6 separate regions of the Mus musculus genome follow, and all the other regions are reported to be linked to region 1. The links are microRNA targets in miRTarBase. Many come from high-throughput screens and were not tested one by one. Region 1 holds a microRNA gene; each other region holds the end of a gene's coding sequence.
What was found. Region 1 holds the annotated microRNA mmu-miR-136-5p (ACUCCAUUUGUUUUGAUGAUGG, at 3,265-3,286, shown strand). A microRNA usually pairs through its seed, bases 2 to 8, with sites in the 3' UTR of a target mRNA and lowers its output. Matches are read on the target gene's strand: a 7mer-m8 pairs with bases 2 to 8, a 7mer-A1 pairs with bases 2 to 7 and ends in A, and an 8mer does both.

Region 1 (5,384 bases):
CCTCCTGCTCCTCTTCTCCCCAGTAGTAGGGCTCTGAACTCAGCAGTTGTCTCACTAGGGGTGCTGCGATGACAGCGAAGTTCTCCACGAAGTGGCGATAGGGATAGACAAGGTCAATCACACTTTGAAGACACCTCCTGCTGCCAGGGACAGGGCACCCCACGATGAGGTTCATAAGGTTCTTGTTCAGTTTCACCCCTTTGGGGGATATGTTGAAGCCCAAGATTTCAGCGGTCTGGCGATGGAACTGAGTTTTGTCCAGTGAACAGTAGATGTTGTGATACCGAAAGCGGACCAGGACTTGGCGGACATGCTGGGAGTGTTCCTCCTGGCTCATTGAGTAGACCAGGACCTCTCTGCCATGGCAAATCACAAACAACCCTAGGATGTCTTTTAGGATGAAGTGAACAATGTTGTTCCCTTCGTCAGAGTATGAGTTCATTGTGAAGGGCCGGTAGCATCTCATCTGGTGAAGGCCGAAACCGAACGATGCTCTCCAAGTGTCTTCCGTGTGTGTGACCGTGTGCCTCATCTCACTTTCCTTAATCCCAAGCAGCTCCAGTTTTGTGAACCATGCCGCTCCATGTAGCTGGTCGAATAGCTCTGGTACCATCTGCGTGTAGTCTTGTCTGTCAGTCAGCATGTCATACAGTATCCAGTATTCCTCTTGCTCCCTGGCTTTCTCTTGCTGCCTGGCTTTCTCTTGCATCCTGGCGCTCACAGGTTCCAAAGTCTCTCGGGCCCCAGACTCGTAAAAGACGCCGCTTTGATCACTGTCTCCAGCCTGCTGAAGCTCAGAGGGCTCTGATTCAGAAAGATCATCGGATCCGTCTGAGCTTGGCTGGTCGGAAGTCTCATCATCTGCCTCCCTCGGGTTAAACACGTCGGCCAGGTCTGAGTATGTGTGTGGCAATCCGGGCAGTAGGCTTATGCTGTATGTCTCTAGTGCGATGCATGGTGGAGGTGGGGTGAAGCAATTCCGCAGACAGTAGGGAGAGTGGAAGGTACACCGGCCTCTCATCCAGTCGACTTCAGGGGCATGGGTTCGGAGCCACTTCATGCCTAAGACGATGGAGAAGTTGGGCGAAGGTAAGATGTCAAATTCGATGTACTCATAATGCTTCTGGTGGACACATACCAGGGGCTCGGTGCACAGCCAGACGGGTTCATTGCCAATTGGGATGCCATCCACACCTTGGATTATCTGTGGATAAGGCTTCTCATAGAGTTCCACATAGTGTTCCTGGGCAAACCTCTCATCCATGTAGTTCCCTTCTGCTCCTGAGTCCACCAGGGCCCGCACTGCGACACTGTGGTAGGGGTCCACTCTCACCAAGAGCAGTAAGAAGAGGTGATCGCGATCAATGTCTGGGTGGAACTCATTGGGCAGCCAGCTGCTTACCCTCCACTTCTCTGGGGCGGGAGCATCCATCCAGGCTACGCTTCTTGGGCGCGACTCAGGTGGCAGCCTGAGTAATGCTCTTCTCTCTGCCAGCTTTTCTTCAAGTTGCAGGACAAGTACAATCAGGTTGTCTAGGGAATTCGGCTGAGGGATCCGGAACAGATAGTGCCTGATCTCTTCGTTGAGCCCCTGGCACAGGTGGGCCTGCAGGACTTCATCTGGCCAGCCTAAGGTGGGTATCAGACCCCGGAACTCATTGATGTAATCGGCCGCACAGCGGTTCCCCTGCCTGATGTTGAACATGGCGTCTTCCGCCACACGCAGGGTCTGCCGATACTCAAACTTTTCTGACATGGCCTCCAGGAAGGCTGAGAAGTTGTTTATCACTGGGCTGTTCTGCTCTACGAGGTCGTTGGCCCATTCCAAGGCTAGGTCAGTCAGGTGGCGGATGACGAATTTCACCCGCAGCTCATCATTGTATAGCATACTTGGGTAGTTCTGCATTGTCATCTGGCAGAGCACGACAAACTCATGGTAGTCTCTGCGATCTCCAGAGAAGGGCCTGAGGGAGGGCAGGCGACCTTCGTTGATAGCCTGCATCATGAGCCTTTCTGCCACTCTCTGTTGTTCTTTTAGGTCTTGCATCCGGAGGAACAGCGAGATGACGTTCCCCATGGTGGCCACGACTTCTTCTGGAGAGTTCTTGGGCTGACCTTCCTCTTCACCACCTTCCTCTTCCTCCTCTTCCTCGTCATCTCCCAGGTCAGTATCATCTTGGTCTGACTGGGTCTCGGATGAGTTGATTGTTTCATCCATGCTATAATCGGATGCCTCACTGAGTGGTTCCGACCCTTCCTGGTTTGAAATATCACTTGACTGGTTTGAACTGTCGCTTGACTCCTGGTTCGAATTATCGCTTAACTCCTGGTTTGAATTATCACTTAACTCCGGGTTTGAATCATAGCTTGACTCCTTTTGTGAACCATCGCTGGACTCCTGGTTTGAACCACCGCTTGACTCCAGGTTGGAAACATCGCTCGACTCTGGGTTTGAACCAAAGCTCGACTCATGGTTTGAACCATTACTTAATTCGTGGTTTGAACCATCACTCGACTCCTGGTTCGAACCATCATCACTTGATTCCTCCATGTCTTGGGGTAGATCGTTAGATGATGCCTCACAGGGGTCGCTGGATGGCTCCTCCACTTCCCGGAGTAGATCAGTGGGTAGCTCTTGCATTTCCTGGTAGGGGCCACTGGATGGCTCCTCCACTTCCCGGAGTAGATCAGTGGGTAGCTCTTGCATTTCCTGGTAGGGGCCACTGGATGGCTCCTCCACTTCCCGGAGTAGATCAGTGGGTAGCTCTTGCATTTCCTGGTAGGGGCCACTGGATGGCTCCTCCACTTCCCGGAGTAGATCAGTGGGTAGCTCTTGCATTTCCTGGTAGGGGCCACTGGATGGCTCCTCCACTTCCCGGAGTAGATCAGTGGGTAGCTCTTGCATTTCCTGGTGGGGGCCACTGGATGGCTCCTCCACTTCTTGGAGTAGATCAGTGGGCAGCTCTTGCATTTCCTGGTGGGGGCCACTGGATGGCTCCTCCACTTCTTGGAGTAGATTAGTGGGCAGCTCTTGCATTTCCTTGAGGGGGCCACTGGGTGGCTCCTTTTCTTCCTGGGCTGGGCCACTATCTGAGCCCGCCTGGGCCTCAACCTGGGCCTCAACCTGGGCTTCAGCCTGAGCCTCCGCCTGGGCCTCCACCTGGGTCTCCGCCTGGGCCTCCGCCTGGGCCCCTGCCTGGGCCCCCGCCTGGGCTCCACTGCTGCCTGGTGTCTCTTCAACGGTGTTGGATGAGCCCTCGGAGGACTCCATTTGTTTTGATGATGGATTCTTAAGCTCCATCATCGTCTCAAATGAGTCTTCAGAGGGTTCTATCATGTCGTCGGTTGGAAAGGAGTGTGCTCTGAAGACTGGTAAGATTGTGATGTGTGTGGTCAGAGACCGCAACTGTGGAGACCAAAACCTAGGGACAGAGGGATAAAAGACAGGAGAAAATGTAGCAATTTAGGTTCTCAAGATGGCAGGGTCAGATTCTATCTCAAGGACAAAGCAGATGCCAAGTTACTAGAATCAGAGAGAAAATGGAGAAATTCCTCCTGCATTCAGTTCAGCCTCCTTTTCTGGTTACTTGGGGCACCTCCAGGGGAAAGACCGTCACCCCCTGACCTGCCTTCCAGGCGGAGTCTGACTACCCCACCTGCCTACTTCCTCTAGTGGAATGAGAAATTCACAGCCCATAAATTTTGTGGAGCAACTGGCCTGGAGCGTCCTCTGTGGCGAGCTAGCACCTGGCAGGGCACACTTCTGGCCCGCTTTGCCCTGGCCAGGTTCCCTTCCCATTTGTAGTCACCCAAAAGTCATAAAGGTCACATCTCAATGCCACTCAAAGCGGCTGCTGGCAGGCTTGGTGGTCTAGAGCCAGCCCAGTGAGCTTGGTTGGAGGCGGGAATCTGCAGGGAGATGCCTGCTATTTCACAAACTGGGGAAAGAGGAGAAATTGGGCACTTGGCCACTATCCTGCCAGTTGGGTCAACAGCCAAAAATAGCTCTTATTTCCTCCTCTAGGCTCCAAGCCGAAATAAGTGAGAGAGAGCCATGGCTTTTGGTTTTAATTTTGCTCCCCATAAATGTTTATAAAATGCCTACTATGTGCTGAAAACATGCACTTTCATGGCTTCATCCTAGGTCACACTTTGTGCATATGCAGGATAAGAGGGGGGTGGGGGAGGGATAGTATCATTTCTCTTGTTCGGTTTGATCTCTGTCCAAAGCCACGTTTTCTCCAGCTCTGAGCTGAGTCGGAGCTTTCTAAACACCCTTTCCCGGGCTTTCAAAAAAACTGTTCTCCCAGGATTGCCTGGTCTGCAGGGCTCCTGCAGCTTTAAACATCTGGCCTCAATTCTGCTCATGCAAACATTTCTGCACGTCTCACAAATGCTATCTTTCCAAGTTTCTCCTCTGCTTCGGCAGGAGCAGGGTTTTCGTTCTCAAAAGTGCCCCCCCCCCCTTTTCTGTCACTGTTGATTTCGTCTGGTACAGGGGTATATCTAACAGAGGTATGAAGTTGGGTGAAAGGGGGGGCATGGGACCTTTGAAATCTGATTGTTCCGTAATTTTTGAAAATCTAGCCATGGAGGGTTTAGTGCACGGAAATTGAATTTAAAGGGATGTATTGGTTTGCAAAACAAATTAAGCTAGTTATTCAATAGCTCAGCCATATAGCTATTGTCTTTATGAATTCTGCACCTTCTGTTACTTCTCAATTTTCTTTTTTAAGGTCACTGGGCTGACCTATCCAAAAACAGAAACACACACACATACACACACAAAACCAAATAAACAGAAATCTCCCATGTTGTCATTCATGTAAAACTCCCGTTGGCCATCCTCCAAACCTTGCAGCAGGATGCTTTTGGGTCTGCAGTTTCTCAGAATTAGACATCTCCTTGTTAGCATGACACTTAAATTCGATCATGCAACCCCTCTGATTAAAGCCTCTCACTGTTTATTTACTGTCGGCAATATTAAATCCAAACCTTTTATATAAACATGTCTGACATGTAAACTTACCAAAAAAAAAAAAAAAAAAAAAAAAAAACTCCTGGCTGAAATTGAAAGGCCTTAGCATAATGTCCACGTTGGGCTTCTCATTCCTAGAACTGGAGATCACAGGTCCTGAGCCTGCTGTACAGACCATCAGCTCAGAAACATGCACAGCATATTACATAAATCAACTTATTTCCTCTTTCAGGAAAAGTCGTCTATTATTAAAATATAAAATTTGACTAATTCATCCCCAAGTTCATCTGCGGGACATAAAAATCTCAGCAGGTCTCCACCTAAAAATTGCTCATGGTTTCAATTTTTAAATTTGCAGCAATCCGATTTTAAAGCTAAATGATACCCGTTCTAAATAAAATGCCTA
Region 2 (5,384 bases), not on the chromosome of region 1:
ATTCCAAACGTCGGTGACGGTGACATTTTTTTTTCTGACAAAAACTGCTCTAACTCTAATTTGAAATGCCACTCGGCAAGTTTAGGGTTTAAGCATCTAAATACTGCCAGCGTTCTCCTTTCTCTCGTTTATGATTATAAAATACAATTTGAGGCACGTTGGCTCAGCAAGGTAGCTTGCAGACAAGTCTGAGGCCCTGAATGAGGGCGGGACTTACAGGGTAGAACTGAGTCCTGCAGGTCGTCCTATGACCTCAACACGCACGCTGTGACAGCCACCCCTCTTACAAAATAAACGTAATTTAAAAAAAAAAAAAAAAGTTTGTATTTCGGGGCGGTCCTAAATCTTTGGGAGGGGGGCACCTTATGCTGCAGTTTTTCAAAGGTAAGCGTCAAGTGTGGGTGTCTTTTAAACTAAGGATAGAGCATGATATCTGCGGGCACCGGTGCAGCTGCATAGCCCCCAATTCTGAGACTGGAGTCACACCTATAGCCCCACATCTGACACATTACACATGGACCTTCACGCGGACCCACAGCGACCAGAGGAGCTTCTCCCACCGCCCCACCCGGCGGCACCACCGACACAGCTTTCCCGCCCCTTCCACTGCTCACCAGCTCCAGGATACCCGCAAGTATCGCGGTATCTAGGCGCCTTTCCGGCTCTAAATGACTCCAGAGAAAGCGAGTGATCGCATGGCCTTCTGGGAGTCGTGGTCTATTTCTGTGGCTTCTGGGAGTTGTAGTCATTGGGGCTCCCTGTGCAAGGCTAAAGCCACATTAGGCAGGGGAGCCGCGACATTGAAAGGCTCACTTTGAGCAATCTTTTTCTTTTTTTCTTTTTTTTCTTTCTTTCTTTCTCTCTCTCTCCCTCTTTCTCTTTCTTTCCTTCTTTCTTTTTCTTTTTCTTTCCTTCCTTTTCTTTCTTTTTCTTTTCTTTCTCTCTTTCTTTCTTTCTTTCTTTCCTTTCTCTCTCTCTTTCAATAACTGGCATGTCTGAAACTTAGAACTCTGCCAGCTTCTGCCTCATAAGTGCTGGGATCAAAGGGGTGTGCTACCGTGCCCATTGCTACTTGAGAGGAATCTTGAGAGATGACCATCACAGAGGATCTAGACAACATTCTTAGAGAGCACATCTTTGGCAAAGCCTAGGCACATTCGAATCGTTGTAGTCATTACCCTGCAGCAATCAGAAATTTCAAGAACTTACATGTTCATTGAGCCCACTCAATCAGCTTCAAGAGACCCACCATGGGAGCTAAGGAAGGCCAGTCTTCTAGTCCTAACACTAAGGGCTATGGTGGTTTGAATATGCTTAGCCCAGGGAATTAGGAACAATTAGGAAGTATGGCCTTGTTGGAGTGGGTGTGGCCTTGTTGGAGGAAGTGTGTCACTGTGGGGGTGGGCAAATATATCTTCCTAGCCACCTGAGGCCAGTCTTCTCTTGACTGCCTTTGGAATAAGTTATAGAACTCTCAGCTTCTGTAGCACCATGACTGCTTGGATGCTGCCATACTTCCCGCCTTGACAATACTGGACTGAGCCTCTGAACTTGCAAGCCAGTCTCAGTTAAATGTTATCCTTTTATAACAGTTGCCTTGGTCGTGGTGTCTCTTCACAGCAATGGAAACCCTAAGTCACAGACACAGTCAGGCCATGCGCCTCACTCAGTGTTACAGGCCACTCCTATTTCCTAACTGGTAGTTGTGGCAACTACTTCATGGCCTACTCAGGGCTGCTTCAGAGGAAGGATCACAAAATACATGGTTTTTGGCATCACAGATCCACTCAACTCAATTCCACAACCCTGCTTCACATCCCACATCAAGGCTTCATTGAGACCCACATGGAGACAAGTAACACAGAGGGACATACAGGGTCAAATGATCCCTTTATTATATTCATCCAGTTACACAGATAGACACTGGCTCGGGCAGGTCAACTGCCAATGAGGGGATAGTTTGTGTCTCTCAGAAACAAGGGGCAGTGGGCACCAGGAGAATGCAAAAGCAGGTCACTGGCTGGCGACAGACAGGAGGACTCCCAGCATCCACCAGGCCCTCCCACCCCTCAAGCAAACCATCTGTGCCCGGCCCCATCTCTCTCACTCTCTCCTCATCAAAGTGCATAGTTGCCTGAAGATGCAGCATCCCAGTGCCTGAGCAGCTGGGCCAGACACTGGTGACAGGCTTTCCCAAGGGCAGTGCCAGGCATGGCCAATAGGTGTGAGCCAGGAAAGAGGAGAGGCCGATAGGACAGGAAGTTGACTGGGGGTAACACCCAACAGCTGTGGATGCTAGGCTGGCAGCTGGATCACAGCTTTCCTGGAAGTAACAGAGGACTAAGAGAAAGGGAGCTGGGAGAAGGGAAGAGGAGGAAGAGCCTAGCCCTAGAATCTCTCAGGGTAGCAGGAGCTATGACAACTGCTCTCCATAGAGAAAACAGTAGGGGAGAGAATCAACTAAGCCTAGGGAGTCAACAGGAAAGGAACTTTCCAGACACTCTTGGATTCTCTTACAAGGAAGAAGCTGAAAAATCAAAGCTCAAGGTGGCCTGAAACCAAGTCTTAGGGTCCAAGGCAAACCAATGTGGTATGGTTTTCCAGTCTCCCTAGCCTAGGTGGGTTTCTGTTGCAAGGAGATGAGAAACAGCCAGCTGCTCCTTGGTAAGGCCTACCCACCTCAGGCCTCATGCAGAGGAATAAGATACCAGACAATGTCCACACCCTGCTTGAAAGATACAGTCCCAGGAACTAAGATCAGTCTAGAGAGAGATGAGGGTTCTAAGAGAACTAAGGAAAGGCCTGGAATCGAATCCTGTCGTTCTCGTGAATGGAAGAGGAGGGAAGGACAGAACACTAAACTAAAAACTAAAGGCAGAGCCATCCTGCCCTTCCTCCTGCCAACCAGGAATCCTACTCAGGACATTGTGCTTGCAGCTTGAACTGGGCCTGGGAGCATCTCTGCAGAATGTGTCCTGTAGCCAGGACAAGGGAGACTGGAGAGGTGAACTACCCTCTCAATGGGTCCTATTTGACTTCTCCTCAGATCTTCCCCCTTCAGACCTAACCTTCTGACCTCTATCCTTTCTGCCAGACTCAATTAGAACAGCTACTCCTTCCAGGAATCCAGTGGTCACTTTGAGAAGCTAGAAGCCCTTCTGAGCTGGGGCCAGCCACACCTCCCCCAGCGACCAATGATGCCCTCTGTTCCACCACGGCCTTTACACCTGGCAAGTGCCTCATACAAGCCAGCGGGAAATGCAGAGCGGCTCAAGGTGGATCTGGGCAGCAAGGGGTGGAAGCCAGGAGAGGGAAAAGGAGATGCCTGCCTCTGCGGGCCAGGCTTGCAGAATCAAGGAGATCAGCTCTGCATTTCCATTCCCCCCCCTCCCCCGTATCAAGTACCAAATGGGCTCAGAATCCCCAAGCTGGGTGCCCCTTCCACGTCAGGGTTGGCTGAGCTCCCATGTCAGCTTCCTGGAACTGGGGAGCGGATTGGGGGTATCTGGGTAGTCTTAAAAGCAGACATAACTGAGACACCCCGCTTTAGGAAGACAACGAAAAGCTACATGGGGAGGAAAAAGATCACGGAGGAGCCAGCTAGGGAAATGAGCACAAAGAATCTCACAATGAGGGAGGAACGAGGGGAAGAGGAGGTGGAGGGAGGACTACAGGGAGCAAGGGGACATCCTCTCTGTCCCATCGCCTAGAACCTGCCTATCACCATGAACACTAATACTGTTGCTTCCCAATGGGACTAAAGGCAGAAATAGCTTAGGCTCATCACCCTGCACAAGGTATCTGGCTCCCTGCTAGGCCTCCCCCTGGCCTGTGGAGTCTCTGGGCCAGGGTCAGAGGGGACAACCTGATGGATGGAGGGGGCTGGTTTAGTTCTAAACATACATCTAGCACCACAACAAGAGATCGCCACTGTACATTATCTCACAAGGGGACATAGGCTTGGCTACCAATGCACAGAAAACACTTCTTGTGCAGTGCAAAGTTCCCAGAGGACCCAAAGGTGGGGGCAGGGATAGACATATACATATACGTACACACATATATATATATATATATATAACTCTGATTCTTTGTACAAAGTTGGGGAGGAGAAAAGGGAAGGGGGAACCCTGCTTGGTCACCACACAGAAGATGTGGCTTAAGCCCCCTGTCCCACTGGCCCCCAGCCCTGCCTCCTGGTGGGCTTGGCTGGCTCACATCTCATTGGAGTACGTGTAGTTGGGAGTGGCAGAATACTGAGTCTGCGGTTGATTCATGGCACCCTGAGCAGCCCCCATGGCTGCATTCTGGGCTGCCTGCTGCACATGTGGGTTCTTCCACGCTCCAGTGGTCCATTCCTCCTGAGCCTTGCTGAAACTGCCTCCGCTACCCCGGTAGAACTTATGAACCTGCAGAAGCAACCACAGGGAATGGTTAAGCAGAGGACAGCACGCAGGGCACAGTGTTGCACCCTGCAAGCCCTAAAGGGGCAAGGAGGATCATGATTTAAGAGGCTGTCTAGAAAACAAAAATAAAAATAAATAAAAGGCCAGGAGCGGTAACTGCCACGCGCCTGTAACCCCAGCCCTTGGGGAGACAATGGCACGTAATTCTTCAATACATGTTGAGTTTGAGGTCAGCCTGGGTTTCATAAGTCCCTATCTCAAAAAAAAAAAAAATTGAAGCTGAGCACTATGGCACCCGCCTTTAATCCCAGCACTTGGGAGGCAGAGGCAGGTGGATTTCTGAGTTCGAGGCTAGCCTGGTCCTCAGAGTGAGTTCCAGGATAGCCAGACAGGGCTACAGAAAAATCCTGTCTAAAAAGCCAAAAATAACAATAATAACAATAGCAACAACAACAAAACAATAATAATGTTTTAAAAAATTGGGTGGGCAGCTATTCAGGAAACAGATAGGATCCTTTTGTGAAAAATTAGTCCTCCTTGGGGGCTGGAGAGATGGCTCAGCGGTTGAGAGCACTGACTGCTCTTCCAGAGATCCTGTGTTCAATTCCCAGCAACCACATGGTGGCTCACAGTCATCTGTAATGGAACCCAATGCCCTCATCTGGTGGGTCTGAAGACAGCTACAGTAGTGTACTCACATACATAAAATAAATAAATCTTTAAAAAAAAAAGAAAGAAAGAAAGAAAAGAAAAATCAGCTCACGGAGTAAGTAACTCAGACTTCTGTGTTCTGTGTCTGTGTGTCTGTGTGTGTTGTGTGTGTGTGTGTGTGTGTGTGTGTGTGTGTCTATGTGAGAGAGAGAGAGAGAGAGAGAACGAACCTCTAGTCTCAGTTCTTGCCTTCCACCTAGTTTAAGACAAGGTTTCTTGGTTTTTCTGCCACCGTGTGCATCAGGCTAGCTGGCCCACAGGTCTCCT
Region 3 (5,384 bases), not on the chromosome of region 1:
TGGTTCCAACTGTGAAGAGTCTAAAGAATTCAAATTCTTCAATTCATGCTCTTTTCCACAGACATATTTAAAATGAGAGAAAAATGGAAAAGAACGTGAGAAAGAACACAGACATGGATTGAATGAGTTTGATCCCATATTTGACACCATTGAGAGCACAACAAACCTATCAGGCTAGTGACAGCCTGTCTCACCTCCACGACTTTGCAACGAGATTGGACATACATGATTTTGGCTTCCAGGTTGAGAGAACTATATGGGCAAATGTGAACATGTGTGTGTGTGGGGGGGGGGTGCTGTAGACACATCTCATAAACACTGACATAGGACAATTCTCTTCATCAGTAGTTTTTTTTGGGGGGGGGTCCAGTCATGCAGAATAGCAGGCAAAGGTAGGCACCCTGCTATTGTCCTATGACACGGAGGACAAATGGTGGCAAATGAGGGCTGGGAAATTCATCTCTACTGGGATATACTGGCCGTTGGTCCCACATGAGCAAGAATAAAATGAACAGTTCACATGTAAAAAAAAAAAAATTCTACCACTTCGCTTTGACTGACCAAAGTGAATTAACAAAGATCTCTCTGGGTGCCCAAAGAGGAGATACCGTTTATATTTTAGTCGCAAGGAAAATGACTGATTTGGTTGTTTACATTCTCCATTTTTAGTTTGTTTAGTTAGTGCCATTTCTAAGGCTACACGTGGAAGACAGTGGACTCTTGAAGTTAACATGTGCACGTATCCATGAGGGCAGGAGTGTTGGAGTGGTGAGAGGATTGCTCTTCAGACCCAAAGAAGCTGGGATCAAAATCCACACCCCCCAAAGACTTCTCTGCTCTCTCTGGATCATAAACATTATCTTTCCCAGCAAAGTTAATTAACAAAATTCTTTACAGAACACAGTACGTTCTTATTTGCTAAGAAAACGGAACAGCAGTAGATTTTGTATAACCTGGCCTCTGTGGTAAATACTTAAGAGCTGTAGAATGAGACCAGTTAGTCTTTGCCCTAACAGATCACAGAATGATGTCTTGTTCATGCATTCAGTTTGTTCTATGCTCCATGACCAAGTCTCTCTCATCTACTGGTCAGCTGTTATCGGTGCCTTTATATGATACTCGTTCTGGTAGTGATAACTGACTGAGAGAAGCCAGCCACGCTACCACTGAGCCATCAAGTGAGCATGTTTCCTCCAACTGCTAAGACTTGGCTACATCCTAGTCCAGCCCTGGGATAAAGACCTATGAAGCTCTAATGATGGATTCTGAGAGATGAAGTATTAGTTTCCATCTTTATTGCACAAGAAAAAAATTGGGCTATAAGGTCAATGTATCCCATTGGAAAAAATGATCACACTGACCCACCAAACACTCCCTAACCAGCAAAAAAATACACCCTCTCCCTTTCTACAGAACACCATGGAACATATTAAGGACCAAGGTTGCCTACTGAAGGGACAGATTTGTAAGTCCTCACTATGCCAACCTTCTGTTGCAAAATGAATACATGAAGCTCCTTTGAATCTTCCACAAACACAGTCCAGGTCTCAGAACAGTTCTCTGCCCCCAAAACAAGAACACTCTTGTGTGTAACCGATATTACATAAAATAAATACTGGGTTTTTTTTTTTCCTAGCAAGACCCACTAGAGGGCATAATGTATACTGTGAACATTCTCAGAGCATTGGGGGTCTCAATGGGAATGTTTTGACATTGACCCTCAGGGTTGTTTCTCCTCCATCCATCCCTGGCTTAGCTAAAAACCAATCCTTCATGAGATCCAGGAGCTAAATGTTCATCTTTCCCTCAATGTGCTATTTAAAACCCAAGAGATTTGCTTCCTATTTTCTTGTCCATGGGGGATCTCTGTCCAAGGGTGCCGGCCACTAGGAGACGTGCTACTGGTACCCAGGCTAACCTGAAGGAGGGGAAGACGAGGTAATCTGATTTGCCTGCTTTCATCTACCCAGTAGAAATGGTCAGCACTTGTCAGTAGGATCCTGACTGTTAAGCACATCCGCCATTCCGCTGAGAGCCCTGCCTGTCTGTCACCATCTTGATTATTATGGAATTCCCCCTTGAAACTTGTTTCTATCAAGCAGTTGTCTGGGCATTAATCTGGTGTGATATAGGGTGAGGGAGTGCAGAGATCACACTCATAAAAGCAAACTACAGAAAAAGAAGAGAATACAGGTAAGTTAAGAAATAGAAAAAAAAAAAGAACGAAGGTAGATGGGAAAGGGAGAGAGATCATGAAAATGAATCAGTGTTTATAAAGATCACTTTGTCCACAACATTAACCAAAAGATCCAGCTACAGACGGATATCTTTATCCAGGGGAATGAGCTGCACCCTCTAAGATCTGAAGGTAGCTAGCTAGCTCCCGCCCACCACTTCTCTTCTCTCCCTTTTCAATATCACGTCTTGCAATGAACCGTGCTGTGGGAAGCAATCCCAGGAATGGCCACACAGCAGTGTGTTGTCTGTATGTAGTGTGTGTGTGTGTGTGTGTGTGTGTGTGTATTTGTTGGGAATGGAGGGATGTGGTGGTGGCAGGAGTTGGGGATGGGTCTGAGGCTTCTGACTGACTATTGCTTGAAGAGAGAAGATCTTCCACGCTGTTGGGTTTAAGGCAGTTTGCAGAGCCCCGGCATTGCTGTTTCCTCTGTAGTCAAGGCTTTCCCATCTGCCAGGCCCATTACCTTCATCTGCTCACACGTTCCACTTTTCCTCAGGTGAAATATCACCACAGGGGTGAGCACCAAAGTGGCCAGAGTGCAAATAACTGTAGTGGATGCTTCACCCAAGGGAGGAAGAAGGGAAGCCAGGCCTGGCCTGTTATTGCTCAGAAGCCACACAGGCATTGCCTTGTATATAACCACGATGTTTCACAGTGCCTCTCTGAGTGCTCAGATAGGATCTCTCGGGGATTTGAGCTAAATTCAGATGATTTCACTAAACACACAAACGTTTCATGGCTTTAGGACAAAGTCGCTGCTAATGCTAGCTAGTAGGAGCTACGTTGGCACGGCGTTATTGCTCTCGTGTATCTACTGCAGTACAAAAGTCAGGTTATCAGCCCTTCTCAGATTACACACATCTATGAAAATACATCAATAAGTATGAAACACCAGTCATACCAAGGGGCCTGGGAAATCCCTCTGAGGGAAAACACAGCCCATGAAGATGCTTGGAGATGCTATCCTGAAGATCTCTCTGTGTGCTTTGGGGATTTTATTTTAATTATGTTATCCAATTCCAGAAGAGGGAATAAAATATCAGCAGGGGAGGACTCTGGGAAGCAGCTCACACATGGGAAACATGCCCTATAATCTCCATCAATCTTCTCTAAAGTCAGTCACATGAAGGTCTCTCCACTGTGTCTCGGGAAAGGGCTTTTACCACCCGGGATTTGTGCACAATGATCCTGTCTTGACGCCTGTCCCTTCCTTCAGCAACTTGCTCTTTTGACCGTAATTTTAAAAATAAACAATAGTGTCCAATGTTTAGAACACAGATGCGCCATCCCCCGGCCCCTGGGCAGTGGTTTCCTTCCGTTCAGTCTATACTGCAGCAATACGCTCTGGTCCCTGCTACTCACTGACTTCCAGAGAGAGCGCCCTTGGCTTTGACTCACATCTTCCATCTAAAGGACAACCCTATTTAGAACCTGAAAGCTATTGCTCCCTCCCTCCCCCCACCCTGGATTTAAGCATCACATATGTTCTTTCTACAAATTGGTATACAGGTGCCATTTAATCGGTTCAAATTCGGAAGCTACATCTTCAAGGGTCTGAGAGTTCACGCCTCCATTTTCCCCCTTTACATAGTCTCTTATAAGACATACAGCTTAATCAATTAACAAACTAAACAGCTTATATACTGGCAATATATTACAGATGGATTTATGTCAGAGTAATAGATCACATGAAATGGACCATGTGGTACCCCGGTGTGTGTCTTGGTGGAGCCTGGAGGACACTGACAGGAGCATCTCTAAGTGCTGTTTGAATACAGACACATGCGGGATCTGTATCTACATCCATCTGACTAGGCCGGAAGAGCAGGTAGACGCGAGATAGAGACACACACATGCTGGGCGGGACCCGTGCCCACCTCCTCATGCCATTTGAAGGGCAGTTACAGGTTGCTGGTTCTGCAGCCACTTAAGTTACACTTTAGGGAAAGGTTTCTCTAATTGTGTCTGATTTGTCTTGTGTAGTAAGCACTGCTGGAGGGAAACCAAAGCGAGCGCAACTAGAAGTTAAGTATACATTTCAGCTCAGCTGTGATACAGAACTTTGGAGAAGCACGCAGAAAAATTTAACTTAATTTTATGTTGGATCTCTCTATTGTTATTTTTTTCTTGACCTTTCGTGAGTGCGTTGTGACAGTGTGTGTGTGTGAGAGAGAGACAGTGTGTGTTTGTGTGTATGTGTGTGTGTGTGTGTGAGCAAGCTGAGTGTGTGTGAGAGCAAGCTGTGTGTGTGCATGTGTGCTGTGTTCTATCGCGTCATCTCCTGAAGAACGCTGGGTTTCGCAGGCAGGCGGCTAGTCACCTGCAACAACCCAACGGTCCCGCCGAGGCCTCCAGGCTGCTGTCAGTGTCAGATGCGAGGGTCTGGTCGGTGGACATGGAGGAGATGTCGTTGACAGACGAGGATGGAGGGAGACTCTCACTGCTGTTCACTGCTGCACCTGTGCTAAGAAAATGAAGACCAACATGACTAAATCTGGAACCAGACCCATGTGCTCAGGATGTTCAGTGTGGGGATGGGTATAACAAGAAGAAATGTCTCTTCTATCTCTTTGGCAGACCTTCATTGAACTGAACTTGATGGTGGAACTCAAGGAGACACAATTCAGAAACCCCATCGCATGTCACATCTATTCACAGGTTAATGGTTATCAATTTCGCTCTGGATTAGAAATCACTCACTGCTCACACCATCCACCTCTAAGTCCCAGTGTTGTAACGATACTGAGCTTGGGTGAAGCCAAGGCCGTTGCATCCTTATGTAAGACCCTAGGGGCTCTATAGTCATTCAGGGGACAGAAAACCACTGGCCTGATCCTGAAGCTTTCGATGAAGGAGGTAAAACAAGCACACATGATGGTCTTAGACCAGAAATAAGCCAAGGCAAAGCCCAGCGGTCAGAATTTGTGATGACTACAGCTCTAAGGAAATGTAAGTATATAAAACACAGAGTATTATATAATCATTAAATGGAATACCAAAATGCAGATCGATGTTGAAAAGCCAAGACTCTAGAGAAATGTTAGTGGCGAGCAGAAGGAAAGATAGGCCAGAGCATGCCCTCTGAGCTTGGGTGTCCTGCCAGCAGACTCAGTTGTTTAGGACCTGTGAATATTGGGTTATTAAT
Region 4 (5,384 bases), not on the chromosome of region 1:
GATACAGGTATCCGTGGGGACCAGACGAGGACGTCAGATCTTCCAGAGCTGAATTTTAGGAGATTGTGCGCTGCCTATTGTTCCTGAGCACTGAGCCCCTCTCCTCTGAAAGAACAGTACACTCAACTACTAAGCCTTCTCTCCAGCCCATGTTCCTCCTTTCTATCCAGCTAAAGCTACAGGGGAGCTAGGCAGGAACATACATCAGAAGAAGTCAAATATGCAGCATTTACAAAGGGGCCTGCAGTGATTAATCTAGACAAATTCCAGTTTCTTTTCAGGAGAAAATTTTGTTCACTTTGGAATCAAGAGAAATTGGATCAGAGGTTCTTCTTGTTTTTAAGAGTTCATTATGTGTCTGTGTGGGTATGCACCCTGCAGCTGGAGTTAGAAATCACTTGTGAGGGGTCTGACTGGGTGCTGGGAATGGAACCCAGACCCTCCATAAGAGCAGCAGGTGCATTACCGCAGAGCTGTCCCTAAAGAGGTGACAGCTCTAACAGGGCCTAAGGAGACAGACAAAAATATCTTTCCCTAAGTTTCATTTTCACTGTGCTGATTTGAATGTTTGGTGTCATGTGCTAGGAAATGATGTTAATTAGTTTATCTCAAAAGCCATCTGCCTTTTCAAGGGGTCAGAGTCAGGGAAATACTTCCTACAAAATTATATTCATTTCCAGTATGGAAATGTGTACAAAGATGTTCTAATGTAGCAGTGTTCTTTCTACTCATGTTCAAACAGAATGCTTAGGCACTTCAAAGAGGCCACATGTCAGTCCCCTCCATGTCCTAACACAGAATTGAAACCAGCCACAGTCAGAAAATTTACCCATTTTATTGATGCATTGCAACTGCTCTACTTTTTTACCATATTATGTAGAAAATACTGAAAATACAAGCTACTTTGTAAAACCAAAGACAACAACGAATCCAAAGATAAACTATGTTTTACACAATGGACCCTTTTCCCATAGTTAGTATTAAATTTTAAATAGCTATTTCTTTTGTTAAAATGATTTTACATACTCCCTAAGTACACCTGCATTACAAACATAGATCAGTAATTCTCAGAACTACCTGTTTCTAGAAGCTTGTTGTAAAGGAAGCACACAACCAGAAAAGGGAGAAAGAAAAAAAGTTTAACCACACACAGGAACTAGCATATCAAATACATTTAATAAAGTAGGAATTCCATTGCAATATCAAGGATTCAAAGCAGAAATACTAACATTACATATAATGTACATATAATGTACTGCTACATATAGTGAGATTATTTTTCAAGCTGAATTGAATTGAAACCACACATTATATAAAGTTTAGCAACAAACAACCATGGAAACGTGGAGACATGCTGCACCATCCATCAGTTAAAAAAAAACACAAAGCAGGCTTGGCCATTCCTGTCACCGAGAGGCAATTTCATCTCCTATCCTAAAACAAACCATCTCAACTAGTAAATTCCTGCATACTAATGCAGAATAGGACAGCCAGTACTGTGCTGGCCTGGCTAAGCCCCTCTAGCGGATGATGACGGATGAGCAACCACAAAAGCAGGCTCTCAATGGCCGGAACTGTTTGAAATGGGGTTCTTCTTCCTGGGGTTAACAGGGTAACCACCTCCTAGTTGCAACTGGGGACTCTGGAGTGACTAAGTGTCCTGGTGTGTGCCTATGCAACCCTTCCAGTTCCTCTCTCACCTGGGAAGGGAGAAACTGGAAATGCACGTTCTAAGAGAAGGTTTAAAGCCTTAAGCTGTTCCAAGGTCAGGCAATGCTGACCTAGGTCAGCGCTATGTTCGTAGGGCTCTCCTCCATGCCATCAGGGCAAGCAGTCAATGTTAAGCCCCAGGCCAGAATGAATGTAAAACTATGTCTGGCGCATACACATTCAGCAGACACAGATGGGTTATCTAGGAAAATCTGAAATGTCAGTTTGCAGAGTGACAACCTCAAAGTCTGTAAAGTCACACTGCTAGCCAGATGTCTCAGGTAACGATGCAAACTCCTAGGCATCCTCTTTTCCCATAAATTTAAGACTCCCATCTTCAATAACTGCTTATTGGATTAGGGAGGTGAGGAGGTGGGGACAGGGTTGGTTTGTTTTTTCCCTGCATCTCATTCCTATAAAAACAATAAATCTTGTCCCTTATAGAGAAAAGGTTAAAAAAAAAAATGTTTGCCTAGAAACTAGAACTGTATTTAAATAGGAAAAACCCAGAATGCTTGGGGGAAAGGAAACACAAAGATCACACACAGAATGACATAAACGGTATAACACTAGTGACAAACTACACAATGATGCGTGGTTATCTCAACCAACAGACTGCTGAACGCACAGCTTAATATAATGATTAAAGAAAAGACAACACACACCACGTTGCCGGCAGGCTAAACTGACTACCTGCCCTGCCCTGGAAACTCTTCCTCCCCATGATGAAGAAACTCCAAGTTCGTTGACAGCCCCTCGGTGTTCCACCTGGTTCAGAGCTTTCCTGACCGGGTTCCATGAAATCTCCCATCTCCATCCTGCACCTCCCTGACACCACCTACACAGAACCAATCCTAGAATTACCACTCTGATATAATTTAATTCAGGTGGACCACATCTGTAGCTTAGGGTTAACCTTCTCCCCACAAATCCCTCACGGGCAAGAATGTCCCCACCCCTAGTACCTTCAACTTGACCCAAATCCATGGAGGGGTTGAATACTAGGACAATTTTACAGTGTGAAGGGCCCCAAGAACAACATGTTGTCCCAAAGAAACCTCAGGAATTGTTCAGATTCAAGAGGTTTTGCTTTCTTTTTCATATTCGTCACTAATTAAGAAACCTTTCTGTGAGCTTCTTGTCACCAGTAGTTCTACAAAACCCTTCTCGTAGTATGGGGACATATTAAGCAATACAACAGGCTCTTTGGTATAAACACATCTGTTACATGCTTTAAAAAAAAAACAAAAAACAAACAAAAAAAAAAAGCCAAGCAAAGTTTACCAGGAACGACAGCTATGCAGAAAGGACTATCATATCACATGGAGGAGAGAAAAGGAATCCCATCCTAAGTGATGCACAAACCTTCAAATATGCATATTTAGCACTGGCGTCACTCTTCTCGCCTGCTTCCTGAACTCTCACAGAAGCCAGGTAGCAAGGCACAGTGAGAGAGCCACGTTAGGGAATGCTTCTGTGAGAACTGAGCTGAAGATCCAAAATGGAACGGGACAGAGGTGGCAGTTAAGGAGGAAAGCTGCGGCTTTGACTTGTCACTGTCGGTAGGGAGACTGAGAACACGAACGCATTTACACAACACAGCTACTCAACCTGCTCTGTTAAATCCCAGCGAACAGCTTGGGGTCACTGGGGCTTGCTGGTCATCCTAAGGCAAGCTCACTGTAAACTCTATTAACCACTACATTATCATATAAGGCACTACAATAAGGGGAGAGAGGAGAGGGGGAAGGAAAAGACACACACTGAACAACTCCTCACCAGACACACCTGTGCAAAACAATCCCAAGGTCTCCTCTCTGCAGGCAATGCCCCTGCTCTCTCAGCACTACAGTAATATGCTCTAATAGAATTGCAATTAGTTCACATACATTCCAACAAGTATCAGTTCATTTTGGTTTAAATACAATGGAGACATAATCCATCTCCGGGGTAACACTGGAGGATCAGATACACACTAAATACACAATTCAAGTGTAATCACTACACATTTGATTACAAATAACATTTTGGGTTAGAGGAAAAATTGTTATATTTCTTCTAATCAATATGTACATATTTAATTATGCAAAATATTAAAACACCACCATTACAAAACTTCTAAAATATTTTTAAATTCAGTAATAAACTTTTAAAATATTTTCTGCAATTCCTACATGCACTTATTACATAAGTCTTAGTAAGAGAGCATTCAATTTGCTGTTGGCATACAAAGGAAGCTACTTTAAAGTATAAAAGCTATACACAACTTATCTGGTTTTAGTTTCTTTAGTTTTCCCCTCAAATAAGTCACATGAAACAGAAGGGAGAGATGAGGAAAACACAGACGTGTATTATTGAAAATTCATAGAAATCTTAGGCAATGTTTATCAGTGCCAGTATCTCATTCTAGAGAGAGATTTTGCATACTATTGTATGCAAACCACCACCATACACTTACCACCTCACTGGCTTTTCTATAAGGAGAATTTAAGTTAAACTAGAGAGAGGAGGAGGACTTGAACTCATGGTCTTCATTTAGAATGAATCCTGGTGGGCACAGTCCTCACCCTCACCTTCCTTCCCAGCAGCGCTGGCTGCCTGTTCAGTGCTGCTCTGCGAGCAGCTCAGCAGCAGCTGCACAGGTTTCAGTACTCGTTGTACTAAAACTCTAACAACTGCCCAGTAAGGACAGCACGACATGAAAATGAAATCACTCTGTTTCCATACGCCATAAGCACAGCCTTGCTAAGCTGCTTTCAAAATAAAAGACAAGGAAGTCTTGTGTTTTAGTTTTTTAAGCAAACAAAAAGTAATGACTCTTTCTCATCTGTTACAGGATTTCAAGTCAGCATTTCCCCTCGTAAAGAAGAGCTTTACTTCATTTTAAAAACATTTATAGAAACCAAGTCAAAGAGACCAAATGTATGACAGAGGGTAACTTCAGAACGATCTTTCTTCCTTGGTAACTGCAGAAGATGGGCTTCTGAGCTCTTCCAACGTCCAAAAATGCTGTCACAAGAATAAAGAATTAAAAAAACAGGGCAGACTTGGGAGACTGCAACAATGCAGTCAACACCGAGAGCTGTTCCCCAGGGAAAAGCCTTCTGCTTCAGTGGGCCCCGCAGAACGCGCTGCTGGCTAGGAACTTTCAAGAGGAGATAATGGAGGTGCTCTCCAGAGCCCATTAAGAACTCAGGGCTAGTAGCAGGCAGCCACGGAGCCCTCCTCGTGCTCATCAACTACAAGTAAGAATACTGACTGATCTTGGTAGGACTCAGCGGGTATCCAGTGTAAATTGTTGAGCCTCGGGAAGACCCGATGTAGGACTGAGTGGCAAACTGGTGTTGGTACTGAGCAGGGGCCACACTGGCAGAAGTGAGGAGGCTGGGCCCGACACTGACAGGAACCTGATGCACCAGAGTGCTAGGGTGTGTGGTATAAGCTGCAGCATGCCTTGAGGAACCCTGGGGGGAGAACAGATGAGCAATGGAACTGGTGGAGCCCAATGCAGCAGCAGAAGTGGGGGCAGCGTACGTATACAGGTGAGGCTGGCTTGGCAGGTGAGCAGGGGCTGGGGCCAAGTGTGGGTGCCCCGTCGAGTGCAGTGGGCTGCCATGCTGGAAGGCGTAGGGGGCTTGGGAGAGCGGGGCCACAAATGCCTGCTGTCTGCGGGG
Region 5 (5,384 bases), not on the chromosome of region 1:
TAAAAATATATTCAAACGTTAGTTGGTTGAGTCTATGGATGTGGAACTTACAGATCCAGACAGGCAGCTGTATTTCAGCAACAGGTACATACCCTCTGCACTGACAGATTAGCTCAGCGATGTTCTAAACTATTGACAGCCTGTTTGTTATGGAGTATGTGGGATGGTGGGTGGGTGGTATTCAAATAACACATTAAACCATTAAAAGTCCACGGCCCCCGTTTCGTCCCTTTATCGGTGAGTTTGAGTTGTGAGTGAGCAGGACATGGTGTATGGCCCACTGTCCTTTCTGCATTTTTTGGCTTAGACTTTGCATATTCGTGGTTCTTATTTGCATAGTGGCATATGGCTTGCTTGTTAGCTAGCTCACATGGGAGCACCTCCTTGCCTTCCTGAGAGCAATTGTGGACTTGCTGACTGAGGGTCTGCCTTGTTGGGTCTCACACTGTCGTGTTCCACGTCGTGCTGCGTGGTAGCCTTCCCTCATAGCTTGCTTTCTTCTGTGCTGACAAGAAGCACATACAACTTCTGAAACATTATGAACAATTTTCATATATTTTGAAAAGCTAATGCAGACTTTGTTTTTCTCATCCTAGGATATGGTGGCACCAGAAGACGGTAAAATAGGAAATTGAAGGCAAACACTGGATGCAAAGTTTCTGATTTGTCATCACCATCTCTTTAACACCTGGCTAATGGGAATAACCAAAAGTTGTGTGGTGTTTGGTCCTTGTGTAGCTTTTCGTGTCCCGTTGTTTGTGGCCAAGAGTTGATATGTGACAAAATGCTATGGTTTGTATGATAATGTAACATGCAGTTCAAAGCGATGGCCACTGTGGAATGCTGACATTGTGCTTGTGTCTCAAGCCTTTCATACCAGAGGGGGCATTAGGAATGGAGCACCCTCCTGCTGAGACTGAGCACAGACCGCTTGAGCTAGGTGGCTTTGGACCATGAGTCATTCCCTCGTAGAAACAACGATCCTCTATTGGATATTAAAACACTTGGTGTTTGCTGTTCTTCAAACATTTAAGCCCAGTGCCGACTACTAATTATGCTGATTTGTGGGTTGCAATCGCTTGATCAGTAGAGCTTGGACCCTTCTGTGGTGGTCAGCGCCTGGGGATTCTGACCTTTCACAGGAAGGGTAGAAAGCAAACGACATGCACAGAAGGCTTGGAACCGCTAGACGTCAGTTTTCAGGTGGTAGCATTCAGACGCAAAAGCATGGAGTTCTCTGTGGAGTCTTAAACTGTCAGATGTTGTTGTGACATTTTGTTTTAGCCTTACATTAATATGACAATAAATTAAAAAGACAGGAAGTATTCTTGTTCTTTGTACTGCTGAAGCGTGTTTCGTGTGTGGTTTCCTCATCTCACACAGGCACCCACTTCTGGGGCTCAAGGGATGCATGGCGCACTGGTTAAGAGCTTGTACTGCTCCATGGGTGACCTGGGTTTGGTTCCTGGCACCCATATCAGGCAGCTCACACTGGCCTAGACGCTGGTTCTAGGGGACATGGTTGTCGCTGGTCTCCAAGGGAGCTTGCACTCATATGCACATACACACACACACACACACACACACACACACACACTTAATTGAAAAATGACAAAACAGGCTAAGAGTAGCAGTGCATACCTTTAAGAGGCAGAAGGAAACCTCTGAGTTGGAAGCCAGCCAAGGTTATACAGTGAGAGACCCCGTCTCTAACAAAACAGAAACTTAGGGGACTAGAGAATCGGTAAGAGTTTGCTTCTCAGTAACTGGGTTGGGCAGCTTCTGACTCCGGCTCTAGGAGATCCGACCTGTGAGGGTACCAACTACCCAACCTACCTACCTACCTTCCTCCCTTCTTTCCTCCCTTCTTTCCTTCCTTCCCTCCCTCCCTCCCTCCCTCCCTCCCTCCCTCCCTCCCTCCCTCCCTCCCTCCCTCCCTCCCTCCCACACACATGCACACACAAAATAACTAAAAAACAAAACAACAAAAAACTTCAGGGTGGATGAGGGCCTCTGCTTAAAAAAAAAGACAGTTTTTAAAACTAAGTCTTCAAGTGTCCCAACCCACCAAGGACTGTTTTTTATTTTTAGTTGAAGACCACAGGCTGGAGAAGTTGCAGTTCCAAGGAATAGAAATGGAGATAAAGGTCTCAGTTCTGTGTCTTCCTTGCCCTTAGCGACAGCTCCACCTCTGAGAAGACCTTGCTGCTTTGCCTGCAGGGCATGTAATCACAGAGGTGTTCCTGCAAGGGACTGCTGAGTCTCCCCAGGAGTTCTTCCCGGCCTCTCTGCCACCCATCTGGACCCACATTCCAGGAGGCACCAAAGGGTGCAGTCCACTATGTGACCCATGGGGGGAGAGGACTGCACACCAGGAGTCACCATACTCAGGAGAACAGCATTTTAGAATGGGTTTATCATATAAGCCACCCACCTTGAGAGAGTCCAGAGCACACACTTCCACTGCGTGTATGACTCCGCTCCTATCAGGTTACCATGGAGATGAAAGTTTCCTGTGGCCCAGTGATGGCTATAACTGTTGTAGTGTCACAGGACACCCAGTACTCTTCTTTTGGTGGTGATGGTGTTAGCACGTGTGTATTCACCACCAAGGCTGGCTTTACTAATCCGGGAGTTTTCATTCCCGTCAGGTTGGCAATCAACCATTACAACTCCTGTCACAATGTGGGAGAAAGGAGACTCAACGCACACTCAGAACATCATGCGAAGATTGAAATTATGTTGTCACAAACCAATGTATGACATAGGTTAGCAAGCTACCAGGAGCCTGGAGACAGGCCTGGGGCAGAGCCTTTCCTGGAACCTTCGAAAAGAGTATGGGCCTGCTTATGTTCTCATCTCAGACTGACAGCCTCCCCAAATGTAAAACCATGTATGCTTAAGACAAGGAAAGCGAAAGCAACACCCCCATCTCTGGAGGGATTGTGGAGATGTGTGATATCGTCTGTCTTAGGGTTCCCATTGCTGAGAAGAGACGCCATGACCAAGGCAACTCTTGTAAAGAACAACATTTTATTGGGGGCTGGCTTACAGATTCAGAGGTTTAGAGGTTATCATCATGGTGGGACGCATGACAGTGTCCAGGCAGACATGGCACTGGAGAAGGAGCTGAGGGTTCTACATCTCCATCCTTAAGTAGCAGGTGACTGTGTACCACACTGAGCATAACTTTAAAGCCAGACTCCATGGTGACAGACATCCTCCAACAAGGCCACACCTCCTAATTGTGCCACTCCCAATGAGCCAAGCATTCAAATGCATGATCTGGGGTGCCATACCTATTCCAACTACCACACCATTAAAGGCTTGAAGGATGGAGGGTTAGGACCCTCACTTAGTTCACTGCTTGGCCTGTGCAGAAAGCACATCTTTGAGAATACTAGTCATAAGCTATTCAGAGGTGACTCCAATTGCAGTTGTGATTTTATTGCTTCAGTCCATTAACATATCAGGTGTGCAGCTGCCATACTGACAAATGCTTCCCCTCTTTATATCTCAGTACAGCCCCACCAGAGGCATCTAGCAGCTGGCAAGGCCATCAGTACACCCTCGCTTTCTTACCTCAGGAGGATATTCATTCTCTGGCCACATGTCATCATGCAGTTAGTCACTATCTGTGATCACGACTCTCTTAAGACTTCCCACCAGTCCACGACACGGATGATAATCCGTGTCCCAGGTAAACCATGCTGGACGGTGAGAAAGAGATCAGACAAAATTTCTTGGGCCTTCTAGTGAGATTTCTAGGGATCCAGTGGTATGGAGTGTGCTGAACTATGCCTCCATGGAGTATATGAACAATCCCTGTTCTCTAAGGCCATTCTAATCTCTGTTCACCTCTAGAGATGAAAGCTGTAAACACTAAGACAGAGGAAGGTTGGCAGACCAGATGAGATAAACTTCTAAGGGGAGAGGTGACTCAGCGCTTTACACGATGTGTCACAGTGCTGACTGTTCCTTCCTGGCAAGACAGGACAGGGCTGTTTTGCATGCCACCCATTCTAAAAAGAAAAGGCACAACACTTCGGAGGACTTTGGAGGCAACTTGTTGTCTACAGAGTGCTACTCTGGTATACTTATTGACCCCCAAAGCTGCTAGCTTTTATGGGTCCATAGTAAGAGAAGGCTATCTGTGATGGTTTGGATATGCTCGTCCCAGGGAGTGGCACTGTTAGAAGGTGTGGCTCTATAGAGTAGGTGTGTCATTGTGGGTGTGGACATTAAGACCCTCATCCTAGCTACTTGGAAGCCAGTATTCTGCTAGCAGCCTTCAGATAAAGATGTAGAACTCTCAGCTCCTCCTGCACCATGCCTGCCTGGATGTTGCTATGTTCCCACCTTGATAATGGACTGAACCTCTGAACCTGTAAGCCAGCCCCAATTAAATGTTGTCCTTACAAGAGTTGCCTTGGTCATGGTGTCTGTTCACAGCAGTGAAACCCTAACTAAGACACTATCTGACACAGGATATAGTATAATAGTGTAACATTTAGTAAGGTCTAATGGTAACAATTTACCATTGTTACCTATCATTTTTCCAGATAGTTCCTGTCTCTTCCTAGTTTTCTTGATTAATTTTGGTACTTCTCATTCAATTTCCTTATAAGATTTTTTTTTCTATTTTGTTCAAGGCTATGTCTCTGGTATCTGAAGTATCAAGTAGGGTCACAGGAAGAAATAGATGGCACAGTCAAAGCCTAATATCTGCCCCCCCCCAAGGCAGAGTTTCTCTGTGTAGTCCTGGTTGTCCTGGATCTCTCTCTGTAGACCAGGCTGGCTTTGAACTCAGCGATCCACCTCTCTCTGCCACGGAGTGCTGGGATTAAATGTCTGCTATCATGACCCAGCTAAAAGCAGAATAGTTGTGAGGATTTAATTAAGGAACTATTTACTACAAAAAAAAATATGGCCAGGTTCAGGAAAACCACCAGGATCCCCGTAATAGAAGAGAGCAAATAATAGGTTGGTTGTACCATAGACCTGAAAGATTATTCAAGGAGATACAGTCTCCTTTGTTCTGAGTAGAAGCAGAACATTTTTCCAGGGTAGTTAGGATGAGTTACCCTGGCCAGTGCCACAAACTCCTTTTTGACCTGTTTGTTCAGTAGCATGAAAAGCTCACATTGGCCGGAGGCTTATGTAACAGTGTTTGTTAGTGGGGGCTTTGCTTCCTTAGGTGCTAGACCAGTTTGTGCAAGCTAGCAGCTTAAAAGAAGCCAAGATAAGCAGGTCCCTTTTTCCTCTTGGACACCAGGTCACTTGTCTAGTGCGAGAATGTGAATAAAGCACGAGAGTCTCTTGTCACGTCTGAGATTTTGGCTTAGTGAGTAGCTGCTGGGAGCCCTGATAGTGCAACTCAGAAG
Region 6 (5,384 bases), not on the chromosome of region 1:
CTTTTCTCTTAGCATGGAACCCAACAGTTTACATTATATTTCACTTACAACTTCACATTTTCGTGCATATGTCTGCACTGTGTGGGCTTAACAACACTGCAATGCTCCTGTTAAGAAGCCAATGCTTAGGTTCTTTTTTTTTTTTTAAAGATTTATCTATTATTATATGTAAGTACACTGTAGCTGTCTTCAGACACCCCAGAAAAGGGCATCAGATCTTATTACAAATGTTTGTGAGCCATCATGTGGTTGCTGGGAATTGAACTCAGCACCTTCACAAGAGCAGTCAGTGCTCTTAACCACTGAGTCATCTCTCCAGCCCAATGCTTAGGTTCTGACAAGGCATCTATAGTTAAGATGACCCCTCTACTTGCACAGGAGTAGACCATTGCCCATCACATGTGTATTGTCTCCAAACTGGCATGGCTTTGATGTGTTGACCAGGGAGTCTGCTCTACTTCTTTCCCTCTATCATCTCACCAGTTCTTTGGTCCTCCATCCTTAGAACCCATGCTTCAGCTTTCGTGGGTGTGCTCACCCTCCAGTGAGTTCTTCCTCTCCATCTTGCTTCATTTTCATAATGTAACAAATAAGTAAACAAACCACTATCCTTGTACTCTTTTGACTTTGTTTAATTGCCTTAGACTCCACTGCCTTACCTTCTAAAACAGCAAACTAGCTGGCAGCATTTGGGAAGCAAAATATTCTGATGTTGGTACAGAAAACAAAACAAATGAGCCAACATTTGATATAAATAATATGCAATTTAAGTCTAACACTAATTCTGTTGTATTAAATTTCCTTTTGTGTTTTTCCATTGGTGACTTTTTTTTCTCCAACATGAGTTTCATATTTCCTTGGCTTTCCATGGGTATTGACTTTTGCTTGGTGAACTCAAGGAAGATAAGGGCAAGGAGACTTCTGCTTACTTAGCTTGTGTCAGGATAACATTAAAATAGTACTCAGTTTCTAGTTGCTATGTAGAACAATAGCTAGGCTTACTGATACTGGAAATGCATGTGGTAGTTTCTATGTTCATAATCCATACCCAATTAAAGGAAGAGACGTGGCTGTGTCAAAAACATAAATTATCCTGAGAGCAATCCATAGAACCTCCCACTCGATGCTCATCCCGGATGTGATTCAAGTGCCCTGCTCTAATAACTAACATCAACATTCCTCTTTAGGCTGCCACTCAGTGTAGCCATAGAGTGTGTATTTCAGTTGACTCAGTGACTTACAAGGAAAGCATGACACAACTATCTGTCTTCAGAACTGCACTGCTGACTTTCCTCTATTACCTCTAATTGTTTTCATTTTCTTTCTTTTTCAATACCAGGATTAAACCCAAGCCTTCTATATGTTGATGAGGATTCCACCACTAAGCAACTCCAGTCCTGACGCTTTTATTTTTAAGTGAAAATATGTCATTTTAAAAAGATTTTTAAAGTAGCCCTTTGTGACCCAGAAAACATTTATTTTCAAATTATTTTTATTGATCTTACCATCAGAATAATATCTTTAATTTCCCATGACAATCAACAATACATTACAACTTTGATATCAATAGCAATGATTACTAAAACGAGCAAGCAGTTCACCAGTCTTGAGAATCAAAAGGCATATAATGGCAGTACCAATAAAATAGTGTGCATGTATGTTAAGAAATAGGCAACATAACCTGTTAATGCCTTGGGCATTTTCTAGCTGTGGCATTTATACTTTTTTTTTTCACATGAGAAGCATATTGACCAGTTACCATGATCCTAAAAAGAAGATGCATTAAAGTGCCTCTCTGGCTAACAGTGGCTGTGCACCTCCTTATCATACGGTGCTGACATCACTCGCAACGCATAAGAAATCAATACTACATTTGTCCCAAACTTTTTCACAGGTGGCTAATCTTAATGAAGATTCCCTCAGAAACTAAGGTCATTAATGTTTTATCGTCACTTGAAACCTCTCACACATGCCAAACCAAATGGAACAGTCTTAGACTACTGGGTGAACAGCGACATCTAGTGGTCAGGGTTTTATCACTAGACAAATATTTTTAAAGCACTAATGTCAAGAATACCTACCTATAAAACATTGAAGAGGCTTGGATGCCTCGCCTTGAACACTGGCACACATCTACCTCCAAATAAATTACAGATGAAAATCATAATTTCCTGGTGATTTTCTGACTCCATCATAACATATACTGAAAGAAAATTCACTCTTTAACAATCCTTTCACAAGTAAATAAGTACCTTTTGTAGATTTTTTTTTTTTTTTACAAAATTCCCATTGTTACTTCTTTGTGCCTCACTTTTTATTTCTATCAGAACATTGTAAGAAATTCTGAATCACTAGTCAGTTAATTTTATGACTGTTGTATAAATACAATGACAGCAATGTCCTAGCAATAAGCAGATTCAGACACTCTGCATGACACATTGATGGGCAGAGGAAGATGGCACAAAAGCTGCGTGCATTTCCTCATCATAGATCTGAGTTCACATGGGGGTGTTAGGGTTTTTTGTTTTGATGTTGCTGTTTTGCTTGTTTTTTACAAACAGGACACATCCTGCTCATATGGGTTCTTTTTTTAAGTACATCTAGCTTATGAAATGGAATAATAGAATCAAAAAGGAATTATAGAATTGTTTTTATCATCAGAAAGCCATTGCTTGCTGGTTGTGACATTTTCCTATTAATAAACGTCAGTACATTTTTTGGCCATGTGCATAGTTCACCTGAGGTCATCCAAGCAGACTTTCTCTTTACTCACAGTCTGTGGACAAGCTTCCCATCAGATTCTTGAAGCTTCTCCTAAGGCTTTGACAGCCAGCTCCAGGAAAACTGCCTCCCTGCTTTAATAGGAGGCTTGTCCTGAGCAAAAATCATGCATTATAGTCTGATGGCTATTCCTAGGTCATCCATGAACCGTCTCTTCCATATGGACTGATATATCCCCCAAATATTTAAACACACATGGATGAGTATGGGTGGACATCTAGCTAGCTATATATTTTACCTTTCCCAAATTAGCTGTCAATATCTAATGCTAGCTTTTACTTTTTTCTTTAATGTAAAGCTCTGTCAATAATCATAAACAAATACAAAGCCTGGCCAACAGTTTGTGCATGAATGTACTAGTCTCTCCAAATAAAACTAAGCATATTTAGTTCTCATCAAATTATCCACTACCATCCATAAGCCATATTTACTTGAGACATTCATCTATATATTACTTGTATGCATAAATAGGGCTGTCGAGGCCAAGGTTCCCAGGACTGAAGACAATCATATACAGGATGAGCACCTCACGTGGCCATGGGAGCCATGAAGACTACCCTACTATCCTTTTAGACATTCATAAAAGTGCTAGACATATGTTTCAATGGGCATCTCATTCAAGTGCATAATAACTTAATCTTATTAAATTAACAAGTGTAACTCATAATTAAGGTCAAATGAAGTGTTTTCTATGCAGTGCATAGGTTTCTCCCCAGTATACTATCCCCACTAACTTCCCAGCCCTCTCCTCCCTAAAAGTTCTGAGTTAAGGAGGGTACATGACCACAAGTAGGTATATGTGAAATTCCCCAAAGAGAGAGGCAACCATGGGCAGCAATGAAGGCCACTGGAGGTTAGCATCTACTGCTCTGTTCTGGATGTACTTCATTCTCTCATTTTCTTTCTCCCCTTTCTCATTTTCTCCTTTACTTATGCCTAAAGCTGCTAGTGAAAGATGAATCAGTACAATGTCTTGTTTGTGTCTGAACTCTGTCTAGTATAACAAAGATGCCTCTGAGTCCCAGAGGAATCCTATAACTGTTCAACACCCAGACCTGCAGTCACTCTCAGGTGAGGCACTATGAGCAATCATGGGTTGTTATTACTGTCTGCTCCTAATTACAACCTCTCAAAAAATACCTGAGAACATACATGAACTAACAATCTCCATCAAAGGTTCCCTCCCCCCAATCTGTCAGCAGTTATACTGGCCTTTAGGGATAGATTAGAAGTAAGTCATGTTGTCTACAAAAAAAGAAAGGAAGAAAGAGAAAGAGACAGAGAGAAAGAAGAAAAAAACATATCATTAGCTCCTTCTCCCACATGAGCTCCCCGTGAATTATATAAAGTATGCTCTCTACTAATTGCCAAGGCTAAATCTTCACTGGGTCTGGACAAGTGGATGAGGGTCTAGTGGAGTGATTCCGTGTGCTGCTACCACAGATCCCAACAAACCTAGAAATAATTTGGTCTGGGTCTAAGTGCTAATATCATGCTGCCAAGTCTCCTTCTGAAAAGCATAAATGCAAAATATCCCATTCCTACAAGCAAACCAACCACAAGGGTGCTGCCAAGAACTTTTGGGGCCCTTTTTTTGGCCACCCGGAATGCTGTTGGCAGCACCGCAGAGATTAATATATTGTTGACATGTCCTAAAACCTTGTTAAATGTTTTTCTCTTCAAGACACGCTCATAATAGGTTTCCAAGTTCGGTCTCTTTCCATGTCCCCAGTTTCGTCTTGCAAACCCCAGGAACTTCAGCCGATGCAATGTGACAGCCAGTGAGACATCTGCCAGTGTAAAGGATTCTCCACAGAGCCAAGGCTGGTTGCCCTCCTCTAATCAGAGAAAAGGAATGAGAATTAGGGGCAAGCATGATACAGACAGACTACAGCTCCCATTTGCAGTCTGAGACCTAAGGGAAAAGATAATCACATGACATCTTGACCATCACAGTCATGCAGAGTTATCCCAAACTCACAGGTGTTTGACATTTGTCAGCCACAAACGTCCCTTTGTTTCTTATCATTATCATTTATACAATACACCATAAGAGCGATTTGCATGCTCTTCACATTATACTATGTATTAAAAGTAATCAAGAATGACTTCAAGTACACAGGAGGTTATCTTAATACCAAATCATTTTACAAAAAGGACCTGACAATCCATGAAGTATGGAATCTTCAGTTGCTGCTGAAACCAATTAACCCTCATGGAACAGAACAATAGCTACATTTCTTTAAAGTAGAAAGCAGTCATTCTTTCTTTTTATTTCATTTAAGATTTTTTTTTTCTTAAGATAAGGGCTTACTCTCTATCTCTGAAAGTTCTTGAACTGCTGGCAATGCCCCTGCCTCAACCTTACAAGTACTAGGATGACAGATGAGAACTGACAAACCCAGCTGTGCCCCTGTGATGAAAGAAGTTTCAGGCAACACTGTCTTCAGTCAAAATGCACAAATAATCCCCATGAAAAATGGCTGATTGCTGAGGCTCCCAGATGCAACCTATAGATGATGTTCTGGAGCCCACTATACTCACTTGCTGCCACTTGCTCCCACCTTACACTTTAGAGGCAAGCTATTTCCCTAACTGATGAA

Region 2: miRTarBase lists Scamp5 as a target of mmu-miR-136-5p. Seed matches in the 3' UTR shown: 7mer-A1 at 2,427-2,433.
Region 3: the mRNA of Mapk10 is a reported target of mmu-miR-136-5p. Seed matches in the 3' UTR shown: 7mer-m8 at 3,808-3,814, 7mer-A1 at 3,333-3,339 and 8mer at 657-664.
Region 4: miRTarBase lists Hipk1 as a target of mmu-miR-136-5p. Seed matches in the 3' UTR shown: 7mer-A1 at 2,521-2,527.
Region 5: the mRNA of Saraf is a reported target of mmu-miR-136-5p. Seed matches in the 3' UTR shown: 7mer-m8 at 894-900.
Region 6: the mRNA of Gdap1 is a reported target of mmu-miR-136-5p. Seed matches in the 3' UTR shown: 7mer-A1 at 3,946-3,952.

The regions. Positions count from the first base shown.
Region 1 is chr12:109,592,067-109,597,450 of GRCm38, forward strand. Mir136 (microRNA 136) reads left to right here and starts at 3,261; the gene lies at 3,261-3,322. Rtl1 (retrotransposon Gaglike 1) reads right to left here. Exons shown (of 2, transcript NM_184109.2): 2 at 1-3,422. The coding sequence starts at 3,337. 6430411K18Rik (RIKEN cDNA 6430411K18 gen) reads left to right here. Exons shown (of 1, transcript NR_002848.3): 1 at 1-785. It overlaps Mir127 (microRNA 127), which reads left to right and starts at 780; the gene lies at 780-849. It also overlaps Mir434, Mir432 and Mir3071.
Region 2 is chr9:57,439,456-57,444,839 of GRCm38, forward strand. It overlaps Scamp5 (secretory carrier membrane protein 5), which reads right to left. Exons shown (of 7, transcript NM_020270.3): 7 at 1,872-4,409. The coding sequence ends at 4,215. Ppcdc (phosphopantothenoylcysteine decarboxylase) reads right to left here and starts at 659. Exons shown (of 7, transcript NM_176831.5): 1 at 615-659.
Region 3 is chr5:102,908,630-102,914,013 of GRCm38, forward strand. Mapk10 (mitogen-activated protein kinase 10) reads right to left here. Exons shown (of 14, transcript NM_001081567.2): 14 at 1-4,698. The coding sequence ends at 4,556. Among named protein-coding and RNA genes, the nearest start is that of Gm30396, 280 kb to the left of the region's middle.
Region 4 is chr3:103,738,999-103,744,382 of GRCm38, forward strand. Hipk1 (homeodomain interacting protein kinase 1) reads right to left here. Exons shown (of 16, transcript NM_010432.2): 16 at 817-5,384. The coding sequence ends at 4,950. Among named protein-coding and RNA genes, the nearest start is that of Olfml3, 3.7 kb to the left of the region's middle.
Region 5 is chr8:34,169,500-34,174,883 of GRCm38, forward strand. It overlaps Saraf (store-operated calcium entry-associated regulatory factor), which reads left to right. Exons shown (of 6, transcript NM_026432.4): 6 at 597-1,348. The coding sequence ends at 622. Gm33638 (a long non-coding RNA gene) reads right to left here and starts at 3,689. Exons shown (of 3, transcript XR_870316.3): 1 at 3,583-3,689; 2 at 2,435-2,675; 3 at 2,048-2,214.
Region 6 is chr1:17,160,362-17,165,745 of GRCm38, reverse strand. It overlaps Gdap1 (ganglioside-induced differentiation-associated-protein 1), which reads right to left. Exons shown (of 6, transcript NM_010267.3): 6 at 1,475-4,619. The coding sequence ends at 4,237. Among named protein-coding and RNA genes, the nearest start is that of Gm28784, 5.3 kb to the left of the region's middle.